Saccharomyces cerevisiae S288C: one gene and its partners. Changing the gene in region 3 together with the main gene of any one other region gives a genetic interaction. Each region holds a gene or a part of one and is shown on either strand. Other genes may lie near its edges. The genes, in order: MMS4, MAG1, MPH1 and SLX4.

Region 1 (5,222 bases), on a different chromosome or scaffold from region 3:
AGGCATCTCGCGCTGACAGAAATTTGCTTATAAACCAGCGATTGGCTATATCTAAAAGAGCACTCATCGTCAGTCAGAAAGCCATTACCTTTCAACGAAAGAGTAAAATAGAAAAAAAAACACATACATAACTATGGAAAAGCTATTACAGTGGTCTATTGCGAATTCTCAAGGGGACAAAGAAGCTATGGCTAGGGCCGGCCAACCTGATCCTAAATTGCTACAGCAGTTATTCGGTGGTGGTGGTCCTGACGATCCAACCTTAATGAAAGAATCCATGGCTGTTATTATGAATCCGGAGGTTGACTTAGAAACAAAACTCGTTGCATTTGACAACTTTGAAATGTTGATTGAGAACTTAGATAATGCTAATAATATCGAAAATTTAAAACTGTGGGAGCCATTGTTGGATGTTCTTGTTCAGACGAAGGATGAAGAACTACGTGCTGCTGCTTTATCCATTATTGGAACGGCTGTGCAAAACAACTTGGATTCGCAAAATAATTTCATGAAATACGACAATGGTCTGCGAAGCCTTATCGAAATAGCTAGTGACAAGACAAAGCCACTCGACGTGAGAACAAAAGCTTTTTACGCACTATCTAATCTAATAAGAAACCACAAAGATATCTCAGAAAAGTTTTTCAAATTAAATGGGCTCGACTGCATAGCACCTGTATTAAGTGATAACACCGCCAAACCAAAACTGAAAATGAGAGCCATTGCCTTATTGACCGCATATTTGTCATCTGTTAAGATTGATGAAAATATAATCAGTGTGCTGAGAAAGGATGGAGTAATTGAAAGTACGATTGAGTGCTTGTCTGACGAGAGTAACTTGAACATCATAGATAGAGTTCTGTCTTTTCTCTCTCACCTGATATCTTCCGGAATAAAATTTAATGAACAGGAATTGCACAAATTGAACGAAGGTTACAAACATATCGAGCCTCTAAAGGACAGACTTAATGAAGACGATTATTTAGCCGTAAAGTATGTATTATGATTACGTCCGTAGAAATAAAATGATATTACATTCACCATTTCATATTATCTTTAACCGGAATCTCGAACATTTATTATTAACACTGTTTTATTTTATTACGAATATTTATCAATAGTACTTTCTGTAAAATGGAATTCATTAAAAAGGTAAGGAGGGGGAAATAGAGCTGCAGTGATTTTCAAAACGACTGCCTTAAGGTATGTTCTTATATACAAAGTTTCGTTCGATCATCATTCAATAGTATCATTTGGATCAGTACAAGTAAACAGTTTGTACAATCTTTTTTCTACTGCCTCAGTCATCAAGTATTTACCTTCGTTGTCTGATTGCAGTCTTCCCTTTTCAATATCTTCAAGTAATGATTGAAAACTGGGGTATAGGCTCACGACATTATTCGCCTTCATTTCAGGCATTCTCCCTATCTGATGAAAGGTTTTCTTTAGCGTTTCTGTACTATCCTGAGCGGATTTTACATTCAAATGAGCATATTTCATATACCGAATTGCGGGATCCATGCGCTGTTTTCCAATTAATGACACTAGGTTCGGCAGAGAATTAATAAACTCCATATGTGAATTTACAGTATGTATTTTGACATGCCATTCTCTATCAATGAAGCGCAATCGTTGCTCTAAATCAAATTTTTTTATCCCTAATTTTCCAACTTGGCTTGATTTTTTACTTCTCGGTCTTAAAGCTTCTTCTGTTCCTGACAATCGTTGTTCTACCCTAGCTTTGTACTTTTCATTTTCTAATTGGAAAATAGCTCTTTTGAGTTTATTTATATCGCTTAGTATAAGAATCACATGTTTTCCATTCTTTGAGAAAAATCGTATCTTCCTATATAATTCTTTCTTTTGTGAAGTGTATTGTTCAAAAAATTCTTGCGCATCATAATATAGAATCAAAACGTTTTCTTCAACTATTTTGGGATCACAGGGGTAATAGAAATCGTTACTAAAGTCGTAAATACTGTCACATTTTCGAAGAAATCTTAAAAGCGGCATAGAATCGTTATAGCTTGATTGCACAACTGCTGGTGCCAATTGTTGTTGCAGATCACTGTCTCCTTTTTTAAATAACTGGAGAAGGCTAGGCGAAAACTCTATAATCATTTGAGAGCGTGCTTTTATATTATCTCGATATATCTGGTTAACTCGCTTAAAAGCATTTTTGTTTTCTTTTAACAAGTGTCGTATTTTGTTTTTTGAGTCTTCTCTAGTATAGTATTGCCCATAGGCAATATAATTCTCTAGTTGTGATACCTCTCTGGCAGTATTTTTAGTACATTTGGGATCCTCAGCCGTTAATGTTTTCGAGCGTTTTGCTTCCTGAAAACAATTAGCGTTGCTAAAGATTGGTTGACTACCTGTCCTTACTATGTTAGACCCCTTTGCAGGGGTTGAAAGTACATCAGTAGTAATACTATCTGAGGAATCGAGAAATTTAGAAAGATTTAGTTCTACTGTATCAGGTAGTTTGGTGCTGTTGATTAGTGTTCTTGATAACGCTATGGTTCTCTTCTTTCCTTTCGGAAGGTGTTCTTGCTCGTCTTCACCTTTATTGTATACCCTTTTTGCCATGGATGTCCCATCTTCACCATGATTTTGTTTTCCTGCTGGTTTCAGGCTATTATCTGGTGAAGAATTTTCATTAGCAATCGAATTGTGCTTTTCTTCAGTTGGGTTCTCATGTTTTACTGGAGACAGTGGAAAATCGAACAGTATATCAGCTGCTCCTATCTGTGATTTCGGACTATCACTAATGTCACTATTGGTTTTTCCGATTCCTTGTGTCTTATATTCGCAGTCAACAGCAATAGGCTCTGGATTTTTTAAAGACTGTACTCCCCATTTCTCTGCGATGTCCCTCAAATTGTATTGTGATTTGTTGTGCTTCTTTCCACTCGACTCAAGATCAGCTGACCATTCATCACTTATTAGATCATCCAAAAGTTTTTTCGCGTTTCCTTTTGCATTATTCTCATTTCTGAGAGACGAATCTATGATGGAATTTACTGTTGTAGAAAAGTCATCTAGCTTGCTTATACTGATATCTTGGAAGAACGGCGCAGAAAGTTCGATAGATTTGTTTAGGTCAACATTCTCAACATCATTCGAAACAGATTTTCTTTGCGGTGATGATGGAATCATCTCTGCAGAGCTTACATGTGCCCTTTTGCACTCATCTTGATCCATTGATTCCGAGAGAGCGATAATTTCAACATTTGAGGGTCCATCGATGATCTGAATACTGGCATCGTTTCTTGAATCTTTGTCCTCAACAAAATCAACGATCTGGCTCATTTAACTAGCTGCAATATGTGACTACTATTATTCTATACCATAATCCATACATTGTTCTTTATTTACGTATACAACCATTTTTTTCGTGAAAAGGGTACTTCAACGCGTTGCAAGCCCTTTCCTAAATGATCGAAAATGTTTAAGGTGAATACAAATTTATACGCATTTAGAATAAAGAAGCTGAATAAAATAAAAAAAATTATTGGAAGATTCCAATAAGCCCTGAGTTATCACAAGCAACCAGCAAAGGTGTCTCATCAACTTCACATGTAGATATAGAATTTATAATATCATGATGATATAGAGAATCATCTACTGAATGAGTGCTAGTACGTTTCATTTTTCTCAATAACATTGTGAGATTTGCCGTAACTTGTGTAGGAATAAAAACGTCACTGAATCTTGAAGGACTTATTACTGCTTTAGAAGAAGAAAGCTCATTTAGGCTAAACATAACAATGGAACTTGTTGCTTCATCGGTAAGAAGAATTTTATCATTAGATACTGAGATAGTGCTTAGTGCGTTTAAAGACCTGATTCCACAAAAATTTAATTCTTCTAAGCCTTTCTCAATTGGTAAAAAGTGCTCCATAGATGGCTGTTCATCAGAATTTATGAAAGCATACTGACAATGCCCCTTAACAAAATTCCATATTGTTAGAAATGTTTTTGAACTACCTCCTACAACAATTACAGAATTCTTTCCATAAAACTGACAAACCTCCACATGCGTGATTGGTGCGTGGTCCCCAAAGGACCAACTCCTTATCAGCACGTTGAAACGGATATCCCATATATCAATAATACCTCTAGTCGTCCCCAAAATTAGGACACAACACTCTTCATCGATACAGATGCTTGAAACGGCACCATGCCTTGGAGAATTCTCTATAATTTGTAACCTCTCCAGGGTTCTAATATCAAATATAATAACCCTTGACAAATTCGTCAATGCTACTAGTAGAGATTTTTCCTCATTCACAAATGCTCTCATTCTCACTGCGTATTCATTTTTACCAAAATTCTTCAAGTTAATTTTCCTGATGCATTCGCAATTCAAAAATTTGACTTCACTTTCTTGTTGGTAATGATTAACCTTTAATACAATTATTTGTCCATCTTTACTGGAAACGGCAAACGCGTCAAAGTTAGGAATCATGGTTATCTGAGTTACGGTAGAGGAGCAGTCATAAGTTAAAGAAGAAGAGTAAACCTCGCCCACGATAATCTCTTTCAGGTTCCAAATCTTGATTACACCTTGATCTGAACCTGTTATTAAATAGGGTGTTTCTCCTGGAGAAACAGCAGAAGACGTAATAGAATTGGGTTCGTTTTCCATCAAAGTAGCTATCAACTTGCCCCTCAAATTACCCATGTTTGGACTCCGTACAATCTCTTGAATAGGCCCAAACTCCTTATAATCTCTCAGAGGAGGTAAAATTTTGAAAGTCGATAGGAATTTTTCTATGCTTTCAACGTCGCCTTCATAGCTGTTGCTGACGACTACCTTCCTTTCTGGTTTAACATTTGCATTATCTTTCAAGCCATGATTTGGAGAATGCATGTGATAGGACGTTGGTTCTAACTGAACAAAAACGTTCTTCAAATTAGAAGTAGTAGTGGCAATGGACTTATTTTTGAATATTAGTGATCCATTTATGTCCATGACGGTAGATAGCTGTTTGCTACCGTTAATATTTAGCTTATTGCTATCTTTCTCACTTTCATCATATTTATATATCTGTTGGTTCTCTAAGTTAGAATCTTGTCCCTCACTTGTCGACTCTTCAGCAAACTCTACATCAAAGAAAATGTTTCTTGGCATAATATTCGTAAGGTTTAGGTTAGGTGGTGAGTTCTGTACTAATGGACGGTAATTACTATTATTATATGGAAAATCAGGGTTCGCT
Region 2 (4,506 bases), on a different chromosome or scaffold from region 3:
TATAGAGACCGAAAGTGTATCGCCAATGCGGAAAAGAAAAACTACTTTAACTGCTGAATGTACTCCTCCTAGCCTAAATGATATTAGAAGACAGAAAGATTCCAAGAATCCACGATCGCTTGAAAATGTCGCTCGCTATAAAATGGTTTCTAAAAGAATATGGTAATCTAAGATCCGCATTTATCGCGGCTTACGGCTTTCGGATATTTCGTATATTGCAAGGAGCAAAAAAGAAACCCTGCTTACTAAAAAGCTATTGTTTTGCAGTTTATAAGTTCTTGCCTTTTGAATTATTGATCTTTCCTTTATCGTTTATTTAGTTTCCTATTGTAACTTGGAACTGTATTATATAATAGTGCACAGCACTGAAGTTGTAACTACTGTACGTCATGCTTTTCAGAAACATAGAAGTGGGCAGGCAGGCAGCTAAGCTATTAACGAGAACCTCGAGTCGTTTGGCCTGGCAAAGTATTGGGGCCTCAAGGAATATTTCTACCATCAGACAACAAATCAGAAAGACTCAACTATATAATTTTAAGAAAACTGTGAGCATCCGTCCATTTTCTCTCTCCTCCCCTGTTTTTAAACCACATGTTGCTTCAGAATCAAACCCTATAGAATCACGTTTGAAGACCTCGAAGAATGTTGCTTACTGGTTAATAGGTACATCCGGTTTGGTATTTGGTATTGTTGTTCTTGGTGGGTTGACTAGACTAACAGAATCGGGGCTGAGTATTACCGAATGGAAACCTGTCACAGGTACTTTGCCCCCTATGAACCAGAAGGAATGGGAAGAAGAATTTATCAAGTATAAGGAATCACCAGAATTTAAATTGTTGAATTCTCACATTGATTTAGACGAGTTCAAGTTTATATTTTTTATGGAGTGGATTCATAGATTGTGGGGTCGTGCTATCGGCGCTGTTTTTATATTACCTGCAGTTTATTTCGCTGTATCTAAAAAAACTTCAGGCCATGTCAATAAGAGGTTGTTTGGTCTCGCAGGTTTATTAGGATTACAAGGATTTGTTGGTTGGTGGATGGTGAAGTCTGGTCTTGATCAAGAGCAACTAGACGCAAGAAAATCAAAGCCTACCGTTTCTCAATATAGACTTACTACGCATTTGGGTACCGCCTTCTTTTTATACATGGGTATGCTCTGGACTGGTTTGGAAATATTGAGAGAATGTAAATGGATTAAGAACCCTGTTCAAGCCATTAGTCTCTTCAAAAAATTAGATAATCCCGCAATTGGCCCAATGAGAAAGATTTCTTTAGCTTTGTTAGCGGTGTCTTTCCTTACCGCTATGAGTGGCGGTATGGTTGCCGGTTTGGATGCTGGTTGGGTCTATAACACCTGGCCAAAAATGGGTGAACGATGGTTCCCTAGTTCTCGTGAATTAATGGACGAAAACTTCTGTAGAAGAGAGGACAAGAAAGATCTGTGGTGGAGGAATTTGCTAGAAAACCCGGTTACAGTTCAGTTGGTCCATAGGACATGTGCGTACGTTGCGTTTACATCAGTACTAGCTGCTCATATGTACGCTATCAAAAAGAAGGCCGTAATTCCAAGGAACGCGATGACCTCTTTGCATGTTATGATGGGCGTCGTTACTTTACAAGCAACACTTGGTATTTTAACTATATTGTACCTAGTCCCAATATCGTTAGCTTCTATCCATCAAGCTGGTGCTTTGGCGTTGCTAACAAGTTCTTTGGTGTTTGCCTCTCAATTAAGGAAGCCAAGAGCTCCGATGAGAAACGTAATCATTACCTTGCCACATTCAAGCAAAGTAACTAGCGGTAAAATTTTAAGTGAAGCGTCGAAGTTAGCCTCGAAACCATTATAATGGATAAAGGTATTCTTATGAGAATTGACAGTATACTCGCTTTTCCGCTTTGTCGCTCCAATGGTTGGATTGTATGTGTGAGGCTTTTTCTTATTATATGTTGGTATCCCTACGAGAAGCTGTAAATATGAATTTCTTTAGTAGGCATCACACACAACAATAGGGTGTATTTATTTTTATTTTTTTTTTTCTTATATAAATGTCAGTAATACATGATATCTTTAAGTTAGGATTTCACGAAATTTTCTTCTGCCTTCATCATGGCATCTGTATTTGTGCTCGCGAGCCTCCAAAGTATGAACATAAACACAGACCTATACGGAGAAAATGTTTCAGAGCATTTTTCCATTATGTCGTCGTCATATATTTTCCAGTTGTATTTCTTATGCTTAATCTTACTCTTTTTAACTACTTTTCTTTCACGCATTAATTCTTTTTCCAATTCTGGCTTATCTGAAAGGTATTTTGAAAAACCCCTAGCAATACCTAGATCTTCAGGAGCAAATACATCCATTCTTTTCAATCCGGAGATCAAGAACATTTTGGCACTCCATGGGCCTATACCTTTTACATTCGTAACTAAACTTTCAATCACTTCCTCATCATTATCTTTTTGACCGAAGAGCTTTTCGATATCCTTATATTTTTCAGTAAAATAGACAGCAAGAGACTCTAGATATATCATTTTCCTTTTACTCAATCCACATTTTGCGATTTCTGCACATTTTGCTGGGTCTTTGAAGTCTTCGAAAAGGATTTTGTAATCAGGAAATGCACCGCCATAAAGACTGACAACCCTTGCCTTGATGCTTTCAGCTGCTTGGCCACTGATCTGTTGAGACAAAATTGTGCTTGCAAGCCTAATAAAATAATCTTCGAGTGTATTAGGGACTTGAGTCTCCTTCAAGTACAACGTAAATTCATTATTCTTAAGTATGGGAAAAAGTGATGGATCTTTCTCTAAAATGTGTTCGCAAGCCATATTGAACTTTTCTTCATGTCTAGCAATATATTTCTCAGGAAGAGCAACCTCTAGAGGTCGAGACCCTAATTCTTTTGCTATTTCCTTAACAGCGTCTGCTTTTATTAACTCATCATACTCCCTTTTTAGTTTCATTGAGACCAATCCCTCTCTAGCTTCTCTTGATTCTCAGTAAAAAATTAAAAAGGAAAAGTACCACTTCCATCGTCATATCAGAGGGCAGTGGCCAATTCTCATTGATTCATAGATAACTTAAACTTTATGTAAGAATTCCCGTCGCCACCCCGCCCTGTAAATTCATCGCCACCGAAAAGATAATAATACCAAAATGATATATAAAGTAGGTCGAATAAGAAAGTATACTTAACGTAGTTAACAAAGTACATACCAAACATAACAGCAAAAATATACGTAAAGATGGATTTAACAATTTCAAACGAACTTACTGGCGAGATATACGGCCCAATTGAAGTCAGTGAAGATATGGCTTTAACTGATCTAATAGCATTACTGCAGGCCGATTGCGGGTTTGACAAAACAAAACACGACTTATATTACAATATGGACATTCTAGACTCAAACAGAACTCAGTCTTTAAAAGAACTAGGGCTCAAAACCGATGACTTATTATTGATTAGGGGTAAGATTTCCAATTCCATTCAAACAGATGCTGCTACTTTGTCCGACGAAGCGTTCATAGAGCAATTTAGACAAGAGCTACTTAATAATCAAATGCTTAGATCACAACTCATTTTGCAAATCCCTGGATTGAATGATTTAGTAAATGACCCACTGTTGTTTAGGGAAAGATTGGGCCCGCTCATATTACAAAGACGTTATGGTGGCTATAACACCGCCATGAATCCTTTTGGCATCCCCCAAGATGAATATACTAGACTAATGGCCAACCCCGATGATCCTGACAACAAGAAGAGGATTGCAGAGCTTTTAGACCAACAAGCTATCGATGAACAGTTGCGCAATGCTATCGAATATACACCTGAAATGTTTACCCAGGTCCCTATGCTTTACATTAATATCGAAATAAATAACTACCCCGTAAAGGCATTTGTAGATACAGGGGCTCAAACAACGATTATGTCCACCAGGTTAGCGAAGAAAACTGGCCTGTCGAGAATGATTGACAAGAGATTTATTGGAGAAGCTCGTGGCGTAGGAACCGGCAAAATTATTGGGAGAATTCACCAAGCCCAAGTCAAAATAGAAACACAATATATTCCATGCAGTTTTACCGTCTTAGATACTGACATCGATGTTTTGATAGGACTAGACATGCTGAAAAGGCATTTGGCTTGTGTGGACTTAAAGGAAAACGTTCTTAGGATAGCAGAAGTGGAGACAAGCTTTTTGAGTGAAGCGGAAATCCCAAAAAGTTTTCAAGAAGGACTTCCAGCACCAACGTCAGTTACAACTTCGTCTGATAAGCCCCTAACACCCACCAAGACTAGTTCAACTCTACCACCACAACCGGGGGCTGTTCCTGCGCTTGCTCCAAGGACTGGTATGGGGCCAACACCTACGGGAAGAAGTACAGCCGGTGCTACAACGGCAACCGGGAGAACGTTTCCCGAACAAACGATTAAACAGCTTATGGATCTAGGTTTCCCTAGGGATGCTGTGGTAAAGGCTCTTAAACAGACTAACGGAAATGCA
Region 3 (6,750 bases):
TTGAATAAAGGAATGAAAATATTGTAACAAGCGATGACATTTCTTTTTTTGATTGTAGTTGTGGCATTTTATATTTGCTTTTGCATTTACCCTATTCTTGAAGGTTTGGATAGACAAGCGAGATAACACCAGTTGTCCTTCAACTTATTCAAAGCAGCAGCTCACTTAATTATTATTAAGTATACACATGAAAGCCTTGTGTTTATTTCGAATCTTTTTCTTGGGTAGAACTTTTAACGTTGTCAGACGGCATGACAACAGGTTTTTGGGAAGTAGATCTAATATTTTTTGTAGAGTCTTTGGCACTGTTGAAGTGTTTTTTTTGGAAGGTTCTATTCTTGTTATTGTAAGGACTCCTATAATAATTGTTCTTATTATATCCGAAATTTTGATTTGGAGACTGATTTGGAGGGTACGGTGGGTAATAAGGGAAGGTATCGGGATTGGGGTAGGCCATTAAGGGATAATTCCATTGCCATTGTTGGAAATACTGGTTTTGCGAGTTGTAATGCCTATTAAATCCTGGAATGTTAGTTCTTTTTCTGGAGACAGCAATTTTTTTGCCTTTAAGTTCTCCTCCATTTAATTGCAGGGCTTTTTCTCTGTATGCCGGACTTTCAAATTCAATATAGCCGTAGCCTTTTGGTGTTCCCGTATTCCTATCATAAAGAAGTGTTATTCTTTTTATCTGGCCACAGTCTTTGAAATGATCTTCTATTTGCTCTGGGGTGACATCCGGAGTGATGTTACCGACAAAGATAGAACGCGAGTCAGCTTCAAGTTGATGAGCGTGTTTTTCCTCCTTGCTTAGCTTTTGCGACACCTGTGGAGTGCCCTCGATAGATAGTTTACCCACAAGTTCATCCAGCTCGAGCTCTTGCTTGTCGTTCTTTTTATTGTTCGAAATTTCAGTCTTTAAGGTTGCCTTAGCATCCACTTTCTCTTCCTGGGACATAACAGCAATTGCAAATGATGACACTATGTGACAGCAGATATATGTTTATGTTAATAGGCCTGGTTGGAGAGCGAAAGTTGAGATTACTTACTTAATCAAAATTAAATTTGAAATTTGCTGCATTTTAAGGTTACTTTTCGGAGTGTAGGAAATTGTTGCGGTTTTTTTTCACCTAACGAATGATTGATAATCTTTTTCATATCCTCCAAGAAACAAGCTGTTTATTATGGTGATTGCCACAAATTGAAGCGCTATGCTTAGTGCTTCATGACAGAAAGGTTTTGCATTGGTAGGCGTGGAAGATTACAGATTGTACTCGTCGTTGGCTCAATTTTTATATTTTGTTGCTTCAAAAACAGTGCCGTATCCTTAATGAATGAAAAATTCTAAAGAAAATAAGTTGATACTAAAAATATAATGTCCTTGAAGTATTTATGCGATATATAGAAAAATCTATAAATACTTAAATATTACAGCAGCGTTATTTTTGTATAGACGCCGACGTATAAGAGTCTCCTATCAAAAATCAGAATCTGAGCCCAGTATGTCATCTAATTCTGCGTTCGATAAGGTAAAAGATTGGGATGAATCATGGTTGACACTGTTGTTATCGACTTGACTTTTATCGTTAACTTTTACAAATTTTTTTTCGTCTCGTAACATGCCTCTCGCCAAACATTTAGTATAGTTCATATCAATTGTCCTCTTCTTATTATCATTACTCTCGTCGTTAAATAACGTAATGATTTTTGAAACTTTGTGACAATGCGGAACTTTTACCCCTTTGGTGTATTGTACAAAATTGGGCTCCACATCGAAGGAAACACCTTCTGGGATATAGCGGTTTCTGAAAAAATTCCAATCGTCCAAACTCAATACCATGTTATTCTTGTCAACAGTACAGCTCTTTTCTTTTTCAAGGTTGTGTTGATTTCCTCGGATGTCTTTCACATTTTTCTCGATTTTAGTTGGAAGACCACAATCATTCACAAATAAAGCCATATTAGGGCGTTCAAAATTATGAAGTGGCTTGAGTGTGGTAAGACTTTCGCCAGTGCGAATAATGGCAGTTTCCAAATCTTTTTGGCATCCATTCTGCCCTTCCGCAATGAAAACATTATTATCATCACTGACTTCTTCATCTTCAGTTTCTAATGAGGAGGAAGCTTCCTCGGTTGAATCATTCTCCAGATTATCCAAAGCTTTAAAAATCTTCCGCTTCTTACTTGGGTTTTCATTACTCGTTACTAGTTGTTTCCCGCCACTTTCATTCACCAAGAACTTATTAATTAAAGTGCTTGCACTAACAATACTGGTCTCAACATTATCAGGCATAAAGAACTTCTTCGGTTTTTTATTTTCCTGAACTCTCTTCTTCTTTGTTATGGCTTTTTTTGGCTTCACCTTTTTGCCCATCATACACTGAGTCGCATAACGAATAACTTCGTCAACATCTTCCATTTCATTAATTATTTCGTTTTCATCATTAATCGTGATCAATGTCTCGTGACATTCCGGAATAATGTCTTCAGGGATTATCCGATCTGATTTTTTATAGTCAATGCATTGCTTGGATATAAGCGCTTGCAGGGTTGAATAGTCTTCCATAGCACGCTCGAATTTGTATGATTCATTACTGCTAAACAGTAGTACTATCTTACCATCTCGTTTTCTGCCTGTTCTACCCATACGCTGAATATTTTTGATTGGACTACTTGTAGTATCATAACAGATTATTAAATCAACTTCTCCGATATCCAAACCTTCTTCTCCAATTGATGTACAAACGAGAACATTATATTCACCCTTTTTGAAATTATGGATAACCTCTTTTTGCATTTTTTGGTTCATTCCGCTAATCTGAGCCTCTTCAGAGCTCCCCGTTCGTCTGGCACTTCTTTCAAGTTTATCATTCGCCGCTCTCTTAGTTCGTTCAGCTTCCAAAAATTTCTCTTGCTCTTGCCTATGCAATCTCTCTACCTTCTTCCTTCCCTTTGGCGCATGTTTTCTTGTGTATTTGACCTCATCAAAACCTTCTTTTGCACGAGCTTGTCCAATAAAAATATGAGGCCTGATTTGATCGTCAGCTACCGAGTCTATGAACTTCACAATTTCAAGTGCGCTTTCTCTTAATTCTGTAAAAATAATAACCCTCGAGTCGGAACCCCTTTTCTGAAAAAAGTCCATTAGTTCATCTCTAACACATTGTAACTTCCCATGACCGACAAACTTTGGATCACTTAAATAATTTTCGCATTGATTTTTGATGTTTTTCAAAATCGGATGGTAATAAAACTCAGCTGCAATTTTATTAGTAGATTTTTTAAGATTATATTTCGTAGTGAATTCTGTACATTTATTCTGGAAGTAATTGAAAAATGTCCTTATTCCATAAATTTTTAATCTCTTTAGCATTTGACCCACATTGTTCAATAACTGTAAAATAAAGAAGTTCCTCCACTTAATTCCTTCAGGTATAGTAGGGTTAGCAATAATTTTTTGGCTTTGTTGCATGGCTTTGAAGGCGTTTATTTGTGAAGGGTCACATTCCTCATATATACCGAGTTCAATTGCCTGTTGAAGCACTGGTTTGACGGCCATACCTAATTGTTCGATTATGTCTTCAATTTCCAACAAAAGGGGCACTTCAATTTTTTCCTTTTTTCTTTTCTTCATATATTTCACGATATCCATGCTTTCTTCAGTCCTAATTTCAATCTTGGAAATATCTAAGTTATTAACCACTTCTTGGACACCTTCCAGGTCAGAGGCTGGTGTAGCGGTCAATGCTAATAATCTGTATGATGAATTGAACCTATCTATGAATTTTACCACATTTGTATACGCAGAGGAGCCAGTAGCTCTGTGAGCTTCATCGATGACAAGACATACAATATCCTTAGGATCCAATACACCCCTCTTCAAGTCATTCTCCACTACTTGCGGTGTGGCAAAGAAAACTCTCTTATTGGCCCAAATTTCTTCTCTATTTTTCCTGCTTTTATCGAGTAATATAGCAGTTTGATCCGAAGGTATTCCTGTTATACCTAAGCATGCCTTAATTTGCTGGGCTACCAAAGGTCTTGTTGGAGCAGTAAAGATTATTTTGGCTTTTTTGGTCCAACGAAAATAATTTAACATTACTGTACTGGCAATGAACGTTTTACCCATACCCGTTGGGATGGCGCATAACGTATTTTGAAACAGTGATTTGTGAACAATTGTATACTGATAATCCCTTACCTCGTAATTTGTAGGGTACACGTAGAACGACAAAGCATCGTAATCAAGCTCATGATGAGTGGGTCCAAAACTGACATCTCTTTGAATTTCTTCGTACACAGTTTTCTGCCCAGGTAAAACGTTATCATGAAGGTCTTTTTGAACTGGTACAGCACGTCTCGTTATAGTTTCCTTCACAGATTTATTGATAGCCTTTTCATACAGTTTATCCAGCTCGTCATCTTCGAAATCACTAAAGTAATCATCTGCACTAGCCATCAGAGAGAAAAAAGGACACTAAAATAAAACAGAACCGGAATGTGTTGAATAAAACTGAAGTGAGCTACTATATCTTGAATCACAATATCTTAGCTCCGTGATAGAGCATAGGGCACCTCTATTGATCTCTTCGTGATGCCCGGTTATATACACACGTAACCCCGTAAAAGCCGTTACCCGGTTTATGTCTTTCTGTGAGCACAGTAAGCTAGGAAGGTCGATGGAGAAGAAGACTCCTGTCTCATATGGAACAACCTTGCAAATTGAGTGCAATTATCCCCTTTGGAGTTTGAATTTTGTGTTAGTACATTCTCCTTTTTTAACTTGTCTTTTCTACCACATGCACAATGAAAGCAATCTTGTTTTACCAGGCGCGAAGCAAAAGAAAAGGAGAAATATTGAGTATATTTTAATTTAAGCTTTCTGATTTAGAAAGTATCATGTTTTGTTGGTGATCTAACAGGAAATCTATTTTGACCGATTATACAATGCCATCGGAAGTTACGCCAAAAGTACCTGAGAGGCCCTCAAGGAGGAAGACATCTGAGCTGTTTCCGTTATCCGGCTCTGAATCAGGAGATATTAAAGCTAATAGCGAGCCACCAACACCAGCAGGAACGCCCAATGTACCAACACGTAGACCCATACTTAAAGCAAAGACGATGACTTCGTTTGAGAGTGGTATGGATCAAGAGAGTTTGCCCAAGGTACCATTGCAGAGGCCAGTTAGACGCTCCACTACTGAAGAACTAAATAATGTAATGAATAACACCAGTAAGGAGTTAGAGGAGATTGAAAGTTTGATTTCAAAGCACAATATACACAATGTTTCCAGGAAAAAAAGTCCAACTTCTGTGGAAGAGGGAAAGGTGGCCGCCATTCATCAAAACGGGCAAAGAAGTGCATCAGATAACAAAACTTCTACAAATCCCTCCCCACTCGAAAAAAATGAGCACGAGGGTGCTGAGGGCAATGAGTCTGCTATTTCACCTTCTAATTTAGTTAACAAGTCTAATAATGAAGTGACAGAGCATAGTGACTCCGAAGACCTTACTGAAAAGCAAAAGGTACATGCTGCCCTAGATAATGAGGCAGGGGATAGAAGCCATTTTGAAGAAAAGCTCATTCCTGGAGATATGAAAGTACAGGTAGATGTTAGTAAGGACGTAGAAGAAGGCAGCCTCAATGCTCTGCCTCCATCTGGAATCACAGAATCAGACGACAAAGCTGAAAAGTTCACTAAACATCCTGAATCTAGTTTAGAAGAGCTACAGAAGCATCAAGAACAACAGGAAGAAAAAATTTTCCAAAATCCAACCGATGAAGAAAGTACTACCTCTTTGAATGAGAAACAAGAAGGCAAGGACAACATGGAAGTGAATTCTCAGCCGCAAGGACCTTCTGATACTGAAACAGTTATAGCAGCAACTAGCTCAAACGTTCCTTCACAAATTGCAAGTGAAGAGGAAAATGACGTTCCAGTGATTCCAAGGAGTAGGCCTAAGAAGGATTTTGAAGCACACGTACAAAAAGAGGAGTTGCCTAACACACAAGAGAAGCGAGTATCAGAAGAGTGTGATTCGACCCTAATTAGTACCGAAGAGGAAAGTAAAATCCCAAAAATTCCCTCTGAAAGACCAAAGAGACGTGCCCCACCTCCGGTTCCCAAAAAACCTTCTTCAAGAATTGCGGCCTTTCAAGAAATGTTACAAAAACAACAGCAACAAGATCTGCATAATAATGGTAATTCTTCAGCTACTACCGCTTCAGCAGATATTGCTAAAAAACACACAGATTCTTCTATTACTAGCGATACCACGAAGGCAGATTTTACGAGCAAATTGAATGGACTGTTTGCGCTACCTGGTATGGTGAACCCTGGACAGCTTCCACCTTCCTTGGAGAAGAAGTTGTCCTCCCCGGATACTGAATCTAAGCTAGGACCCCAGGACCAATCACAGGCAAAAACGGGACCTCTGGGCGGAACTAGAAGAGGTAGAGGACCTCGTGGGCGTAAATTACCTTCTAAAGTAGCTAGCGTAGAGAAGATTGAAGAAGATGACAACACTAATAAAATAGAAATATTTAACAATTGGAATGTTTCCTCTTCCTTCTCTAAGGAAAAAGTCTTAATAGATACTACTCCTGGTGAGCAAGCAGAAAGGGCCTTGGATGAAAAGTCAAAGAGCATTCCCGAGGAACAACGAGAACAATCTCCAAATAAGATGGAGGCTGCTCTTTGTCCTTTTGAGCTGGACGAAAAGGAAAAGTTACCTGCTAATGCTGAGTCGGAT
Region 4 (6,291 bases), on a different chromosome or scaffold from region 3:
ATGTAACTTGTATATATATTTGAGAGAAGACATAATCGTTGGTGGGACTTGGAGGCTCTTGGTAGGTCGTATTTGTGCATCTTGAGAGAAAGCGAAACAGTGCTGCAAACTCAATACGTAAAAAATAACGCAATATGTGGGCTCAATTATCATATACTAGACCAGAATCTCAGAAGACTGACTTAACGTCGTTGTTTTCCACAGATCAAGAGCAAAATCCATTAAATGACTACCAGTACCAGATCAATATTAGGGAACTGGAGGAGTATTACAACAAGACGATTTTAAACGAGGATAACATACAGGAAACAAGCAGTGAAATATCTTCGGCAGTTTCATTCTCTCCACCAAAAAATACAAACGCTATTCAACCGGGGCTACTGTATGATCCACAGTTAATGAACCCTTTTCTCCCATCCGCTCACCTGAATAGCACGGCACCTACTACTTTTAAAAAGAAACTAGAGGTACAAATAAATCCGGACTATGTCCCAAAATCTTCACAATTACCATTAACTTCACAGAATTTGCAACAGTTGTCTCAACAAAAGCCCAAAAATGATGCTTCTTTTTCATCAGAGAAGGAATCCTCAGCTCAACCTAAGGTGAAAAGCCAAGTGCAGGAAACTCCCAAACAATTATACAAGACAGAGCTGTGCGAATCATTCACTTTAAAAGGAAGTTGCCCTTATGGCAGTAAGTGTCAGTTTGCTCACGGACTCGGCGAATTAAAGGTTAAGAAATCGTGCAAGAATTTCAGGACGAAGCCCTGTGTGAATTGGGAGAAACTAGGTTATTGTCCTTATGGCAGAAGATGCTGCTTCAAACATGGCGACGACAACGACATTGCTGTTTACGTGAAAGCTGGTACTTACTGTAACGTCTCTTCGACTAGCAAACAATCAGACGAAAAGAGAAGCAATGGTCGCGGCTCCGCCAAGAAGAAGAATCTAAATGTTAAAGTAAAGGCTTTGCAGAGAATGACCTGGTGAAACAATTCCTGGCCTGGCGAAGACCGGCGTCTCAACTAAACTCAATTATTTATTATTTTTTTCTCCATGTTATGCTTTTTTTTTTTCTGCTTTTTTTTTTTTATTCTCATTTTCATGTTTGCGATATTGGTAACTCTAAAAAAAAAAAACTTTTATTTAAGTTAAGCTACTTCATGACGGTATATATGCATATTTGTGTACGTGTATTCTTCATCTATACGTAACGTTTGTTTTGTTTTGTTTTTGTTTTGTCAAATTCTCAATCATTCGGCACTACTTTTTATCGTTTCTCAGACATATTCCTTGAACATCGGCCCATTCTCTGATGGTCATTTCGTCGATTTGCGAAACAAATGGCTCGGCGCTGAACAGCTTTTCAATTAGCTCATTTAGCGGAATGGGTTCAAAGGTATATATTCGCTCCAAAAAATCAGGGAAGGCTTCAATTAGTTCGGTTAAATGATCAAATATTTCTATCTTACTGAAATTTGCCACCCCACCATGCTCACCTTTATTATCTGGATTAGCTGTGGACAGAATTTGAGATGCAGTTTGTAAGGATTGAATGATTTCAACCTTCGTCCTCATAGGTTTCAACCCCACTGTTTTCAAGCTTTGTCGAAGCTCTTTCATTGATTGGGACATCATGATCTCACAAAATTTCTCGGGAGAAGCTATGGAACTAGCTGCAGAGGTATCAATAATGTCGTTGCTAGTAGTAGGATTTTGTGTAGAATCTTTAGTCGAAATTTTGGAGGAATCTACCAATTGGATATCAGCAATGCAGAATTGGTCATCAAATTCTGTCTCCTCTTCTTCAGAATCATTTGCCTCAACTCTATAAAAGTTATGTTTCACCAGTTTGGGGTTTAGCTTAACTACGCTTTCTTGCAATAATTTAACTCTGATGGAACTTCCTATGTTATTCTTTTCTTCTTCAGTTTTTAAAGTTGTAGTAAGGTTCTTTTGAGGAATAATTGTAGGGGTTCTTGTAGCTGGTACCTGAACCTGATTTGATGCTTGTGATGTTACCCCTGTTTTGTTGTTTTCTACTTTCAAAGGTGATATTAACGATCGAACAGCTTTGAATGATTCCTGTGTTAAATCGATTATCCCATCCAAAGGCGATGTGTTTGGAGTGAAAAACTGTGTGCTGCCTATCGTGTCGGTGGCTAATGGTGGTCTTTCATCATTTTCAATGAAAACATACCGATACTGGTCTAGTGGAAACAATGTGGATGTCTCATCTGTAGTATCTGAGACAATAGAAATATTGTCATAATCATTATCCGTACTGTTTTCGCATCTTCTACTTACCTCAACAGACATAGGTTTGCAAGCTTTATAATCTGTCAGTGAAAATGCATTTATACGTGTTCCCACAGCCAGTTCAATATCTTCACCAACAACATTTCCTACCGGTTGTTGTGGCTCTAACCCGTTTCCATATTCTTGAGAGCTTGTAGAATCTCCCCGTGAAATAATTATGCTTTCTTCGTCTTTCATAATTTCACTTTTGTCATCCATTACTTGAGACAACGATAAGAAATTTACTGCACTTTGGGTATCGCGTATCCTTTCTTCCTGCTCTGGTTGAATAGCCTCATCGGGAAGCTCGGGTGGTAATTGTGATGCTGTCCAAAGTCTTTGTTGTGAGGATTCTTGATTGTCTAGAGAATTCGAGCTTTTTTCGCTTCCATATAAAAATTTCTGGACTTCATTCAAATCCGTTTCCTCACTTTGCGGAAACTTTTGTAGAAGAAGTTTCATAATATCTTTCCACTCCTGTTCACTATATGTATCAAAAGTAGCTTTTTCACCCTTGTTATTCCTTGCTCTGGGAGGTTTATCACTGTTTCCTTCATTTTGCGTCTTTATTATGTCCAAAACCTTCTTGTGCTTACCTGATAATTGCTTTAATAAGCTGGCAGTCCTTGAACGTTCGTAGTTATTAATATTGAAATCAGTTATATTTTTGATAATTTTAGGGTCTCGTTTAGTTTTAGGTTTTGTTTTGAGTTTCGAATTAGCCTTCCTTATTGCTGGTCTTCTTTTAGCTGTTACATTTGCATTGCTGTGGGTATCATCTGCGTTACTACTCTTGAACGAATACTTGAATTTTTCAAGTTTTAACTTAAGATTTGTTTCTTCCTCTGCGTCATCAAGTCGGCTTTGAATTTGAGTGTTAATGAATATGTTCTCCTCGATATTTGATCCGCCTAAATCGGGATGGGAAGTGCTGACTGGGTTACAACTTTTATCAACATCTTTATTTCTTTCTGTATCGTTTTTCGTAGTCTCTTGCGTCATAGGCGATTTTTGTGCAGTTACGCTTTTTACTTGCGTACCTATTGAATCATCATCAGATGATAAGGAAAACTGCATTTCCGGTACTTGAGTTTCCATTCCTAAAGAGTAAGCATTCTGGCTCTCTCCATTCAGGTTAGTTTGATCGGTAACGTTCACATAATCCTCGTTTTGTAAAAACTTCAAATTCCGTTGTGCCCTCTGAAGTTCCATTATTAAGTTCCCCAACTGAACTACTGGTTATTATTATGGAACAGAGATAGATAATATCTCTCTTGCTTGTTCGGAGTTCCATTCATCTCTATATTTTTAGTATGCAGCTTTCGCGTTATAAATTAAACAAAAAACCACTAAGTGACAAAGAACTACGCATATTAATAGTATACAACAAAAACAAAGGAAAAAAAGAAATGAAATCAATTGGCGAAGCAGAACAAGTTTTCTTTTCCCTACAATGATTGTAAATTCATATATGGTGCTCTACTGGTGATTTTTCATCGAACAAAAACCCGTTTTTAGGAAGGACAGAGGTCCATATCAATATAATTAAGAAGGCATGTTGGCCTCTGTTTCTTAATATATTCTAAATAAGATGTAAGGCCTTGTAATTCAGTTTGTTCACAAAATTAAAAACTGTTTAATGTTTTTTGTTTTGTTGTAGTATTCGAGCATTAAGGATAAAAAAAGCTTGTGAATAAAAATCTTTCGCTAAAAATCAATATAAGAAAATGGTAAGCAGCTGAAAGATAATAAGGTATGGTTAAAGATCACACCACCCTCTTCAATTAGCTAAGATCATAGCTAAAGGTACAAAACCGAATACGAAAGTAAATAAATTAATCAGCATAAAATTAAATAATAAACCACCTAAAATATTAGAAGCTAATCTTTAACCTGGAAGACAGGACAGAAAAGTAATTACAAGAACATATGTGAAAAAAAATAGTTGATATTTTAAACCAAATCAGAAATTTATTATACTAAAACTATATCTATGCCAATTATTTACCTAAACATCTATAACCTTCAAAAGTAAAAAAATACACAAACGTTGAATCATGAGTTTTATGTTAATTAGCTTATTGTTTAGCGTTAGTAGCGGCAGTCAATTGAGCTTGTTTAACCAAGTTTTGTGGAGCATCAAAGACTGGCAACATAACTTCAATCATTCTAATCTTAGAGTTGTCTTGGAAGTCCTTGTCTTGAGTCAACTTTTCCCATTCACCAGTGGTAGCAACTCTGTGGGTTTCGTAGTTTCTAGCACCAAAAGTTGGCAATAAGGCCAAGTGGTCCCAACCTTGAATTTCATTATATTCGGCATGAGGACCGTGAATCAATTTTTCAATGGTGTAACCGTTGTTATTCAAGACAAAAATGTATGGCTTCAAACCCCATCTAATCATGGTAGAGATTTCTTGAACAGTCAATTGTAGAGAACCGTCACCAATGAATAAAATAACTCTCTTCTTTGGATCAAGTTCTTCAGCGGCCATAGTAGCACCCAATAGAGCGCCGACTGTGAAACCAATGGAACCCCACAAGACTTGGACGATAGCGTATACATCTGTTGGGAAAGTAGTTTGGTTAATACCGAAGGCGGAAGTACCGGTTTCAGCAATAACAATATCACCTTCTCTCAAGAAGTTACCCAAATGGTTCCACATCCATTCTTGCTTCATTGGAGTGTTAGCTGGAGTAGACTTGGTAATTGGAACTCTAGCTGGGACAGCAACAGGTTTGTAGTCCTTGACGACTTCTGGAATAGCATCCAACAATTTTTGCAAGGCAAATTTCATTTGAACACCTGGGAAGGTGGCGTTTCTGATCTTGATGTGGTCAGAGTGGAATTCAACGATATTTTTGGTCTTGTAGGAGTAAGAGAAAGAACCGGTATTGAAATCAGACAACAAAGCACCGATAGACAATATCAAATCAGCAGATTCTACAGCCTTCTTAACTTCTGGTCTAGACAAGGTACCAACGTAAACACCACCGTATCTTGGGTGTTGTTCGTCAATAGCACCCTTACCCATTGGGGTGACGTAAACTGGGAATTGAGTCAAGTCCATCAACTTCTTAGTTTCAGCCTTGACATCATGTCTAGAAGCACAAGCATCAGCCAAGATAACTGGGTTCTTAGCATCCTTGATCAATTCAACAACAGTTCTAACAACTTCAGCTTCAGCTTCAGCGTCGTTTGGCTTCAAAGACAAGTCAATTGGAGTTTCCAATAACTTGGCTGGGACGTTCAAGTCAACCAAGTTAGCTGGCAAACCCAAGTAGACTGGTCTTTGGGTAGTGTAGGTGGTTCTGATACATCTGTCAATTTCAGCTGGAGCGTTAGCAATATCAGTGATCATGGCAGTGGTTTCAGAAATGTTGGCAGACATTCTGTGGAAAACAGTGAAGTCACCGTTACCCAAGGTATGATGCAACAACAATTGCTTAGCTTGAGAAGAGATGGATGGAACACCAACAACGTGCAAAACACCGACATGTTCAGCGTAAGAACCGGCAATACCATTCAAAGCAGACAATTCACCAACACCGAAGGTGGTAATAATACAGGACATACCCTTGATACGAGCGTAACCATCAGCAGCATAGGCAGCGTTCAATTCGTTAGCGTTACCAGCCCATCTCATACCTTTGACTTCATAAAGCTTATCCAAAAGAGACAAGTTAAAGTCACCTGGCAAACCGAAGACGGTGTTACAGTTGACTTGGCTCAATCTTTCAAATAAATATTTACCTAAGGTTATTTCAGACATTTTGTTCTTCTTGTTATTGTATTGTGTTGTTCTCTTTGAGATTGATTATGTGAAATAAGTGTAATAAGAAAGAGAGGAAAGGACTTACTACAGTATATTGATCGAGAATGGCAGCTCTTATATACAAGTTCTTTTAGCAAGCGCCGCTGCATTATTCAAGTCTCATCATATGAAATTTCTTTCGAGAGATTGTCATAATCAAAAAATTGCATAATGCATTT

What was found.
Region 1: mutations in MPH1 (region 3) and MMS4 impair growth when combined (synthetic growth defect), as found in Saccharomyces cerevisiae (5 studies listed by BioGRID, with this or other methods).
Region 2: of MPH1 (region 3) and MAG1, changing one enhances a phenotype caused by changing the other (phenotypic enhancement), as found in Saccharomyces cerevisiae (4 studies listed by BioGRID, with this or other methods).
Region 4: mutations in MPH1 (region 3) and SLX4 together harm fitness more than expected from each alone (negative genetic interaction), as found in Saccharomyces cerevisiae (3 studies listed by BioGRID).

What each region holds. Positions count from the first base shown.
Region 1 is NC_001134.8:439,605-444,826, reverse strand, and holds MMS4 (Mms4p), read right to left. Parts: upstream 3,313-5,222; coding exon 1,237-3,312; downstream 1-1,236. Other genes in the region: Hsp70 nucleotide exchange factor FES1, read left to right, coding at 134-1,006; ubiquitin-binding serine/threonine protein kinase VPS15, read right to left, coding at 3,512-5,222. UniProt on the Saccharomyces cerevisiae protein: Interacts with MUS81 to form a DNA structure-specific endonuclease with substrate preference for branched DNA structures with a 5'-end at the branch nick.
Region 2 is NC_001137.3:453,070-457,575, forward strand, and holds MAG1 (DNA-3-methyladenine glycosylase II), read right to left. Parts: upstream 2,968-4,506; coding exon 2,077-2,967; downstream 1-2,076. Other genes in the region: EMP65 (Emp65p), read left to right, coding at 1-166; COX15 (Cox15p), read left to right, coding at 390-1,850; DDI1 (Ddi1p), read left to right, coding at 3,250-4,506. UniProt on the Saccharomyces cerevisiae protein: Hydrolysis of the deoxyribose N-glycosidic bond to excise 3-methyladenine or 7-methyladenine from the damaged DNA polymer formed by alkylation lesions.
Region 3 is NC_001141.2:355,941-362,690, forward strand, and holds MPH1 (3'-5' DNA helicase), read right to left. Parts: upstream 4,457-6,750; coding exon 1,475-4,456; downstream 1-1,474. Other genes in the region: SGN1 (Sgn1p), read right to left, coding at 203-955; AIM21 (Aim21p), read left to right, coding at 4,945-6,750. UniProt on the Saccharomyces cerevisiae protein: ATP-dependent DNA helicase involved in DNA damage repair by homologous recombination and in genome maintenance. Capable of unwinding D-loops. Plays a role in limiting crossover recombinants during mitotic DNA double-strand break (DSB) repair.
Region 4 is NC_001144.5:410,502-416,792, reverse strand, and holds SLX4 (Slx4p), read right to left. Parts: upstream 3,513-6,291; coding exon 1,266-3,512; downstream 1-1,265. Other genes in the region: TIS11 (Tis11p), read left to right, coding at 135-992; PDC5 (indolepyruvate decarboxylase 5), read right to left, coding at 4,379-6,070. UniProt on the Saccharomyces cerevisiae protein: Regulatory subunit that interacts with and increases the activity of different structure-specific endonucleases. Has several distinct roles in protecting genome stability by resolving diverse forms of deleterious DNA structures.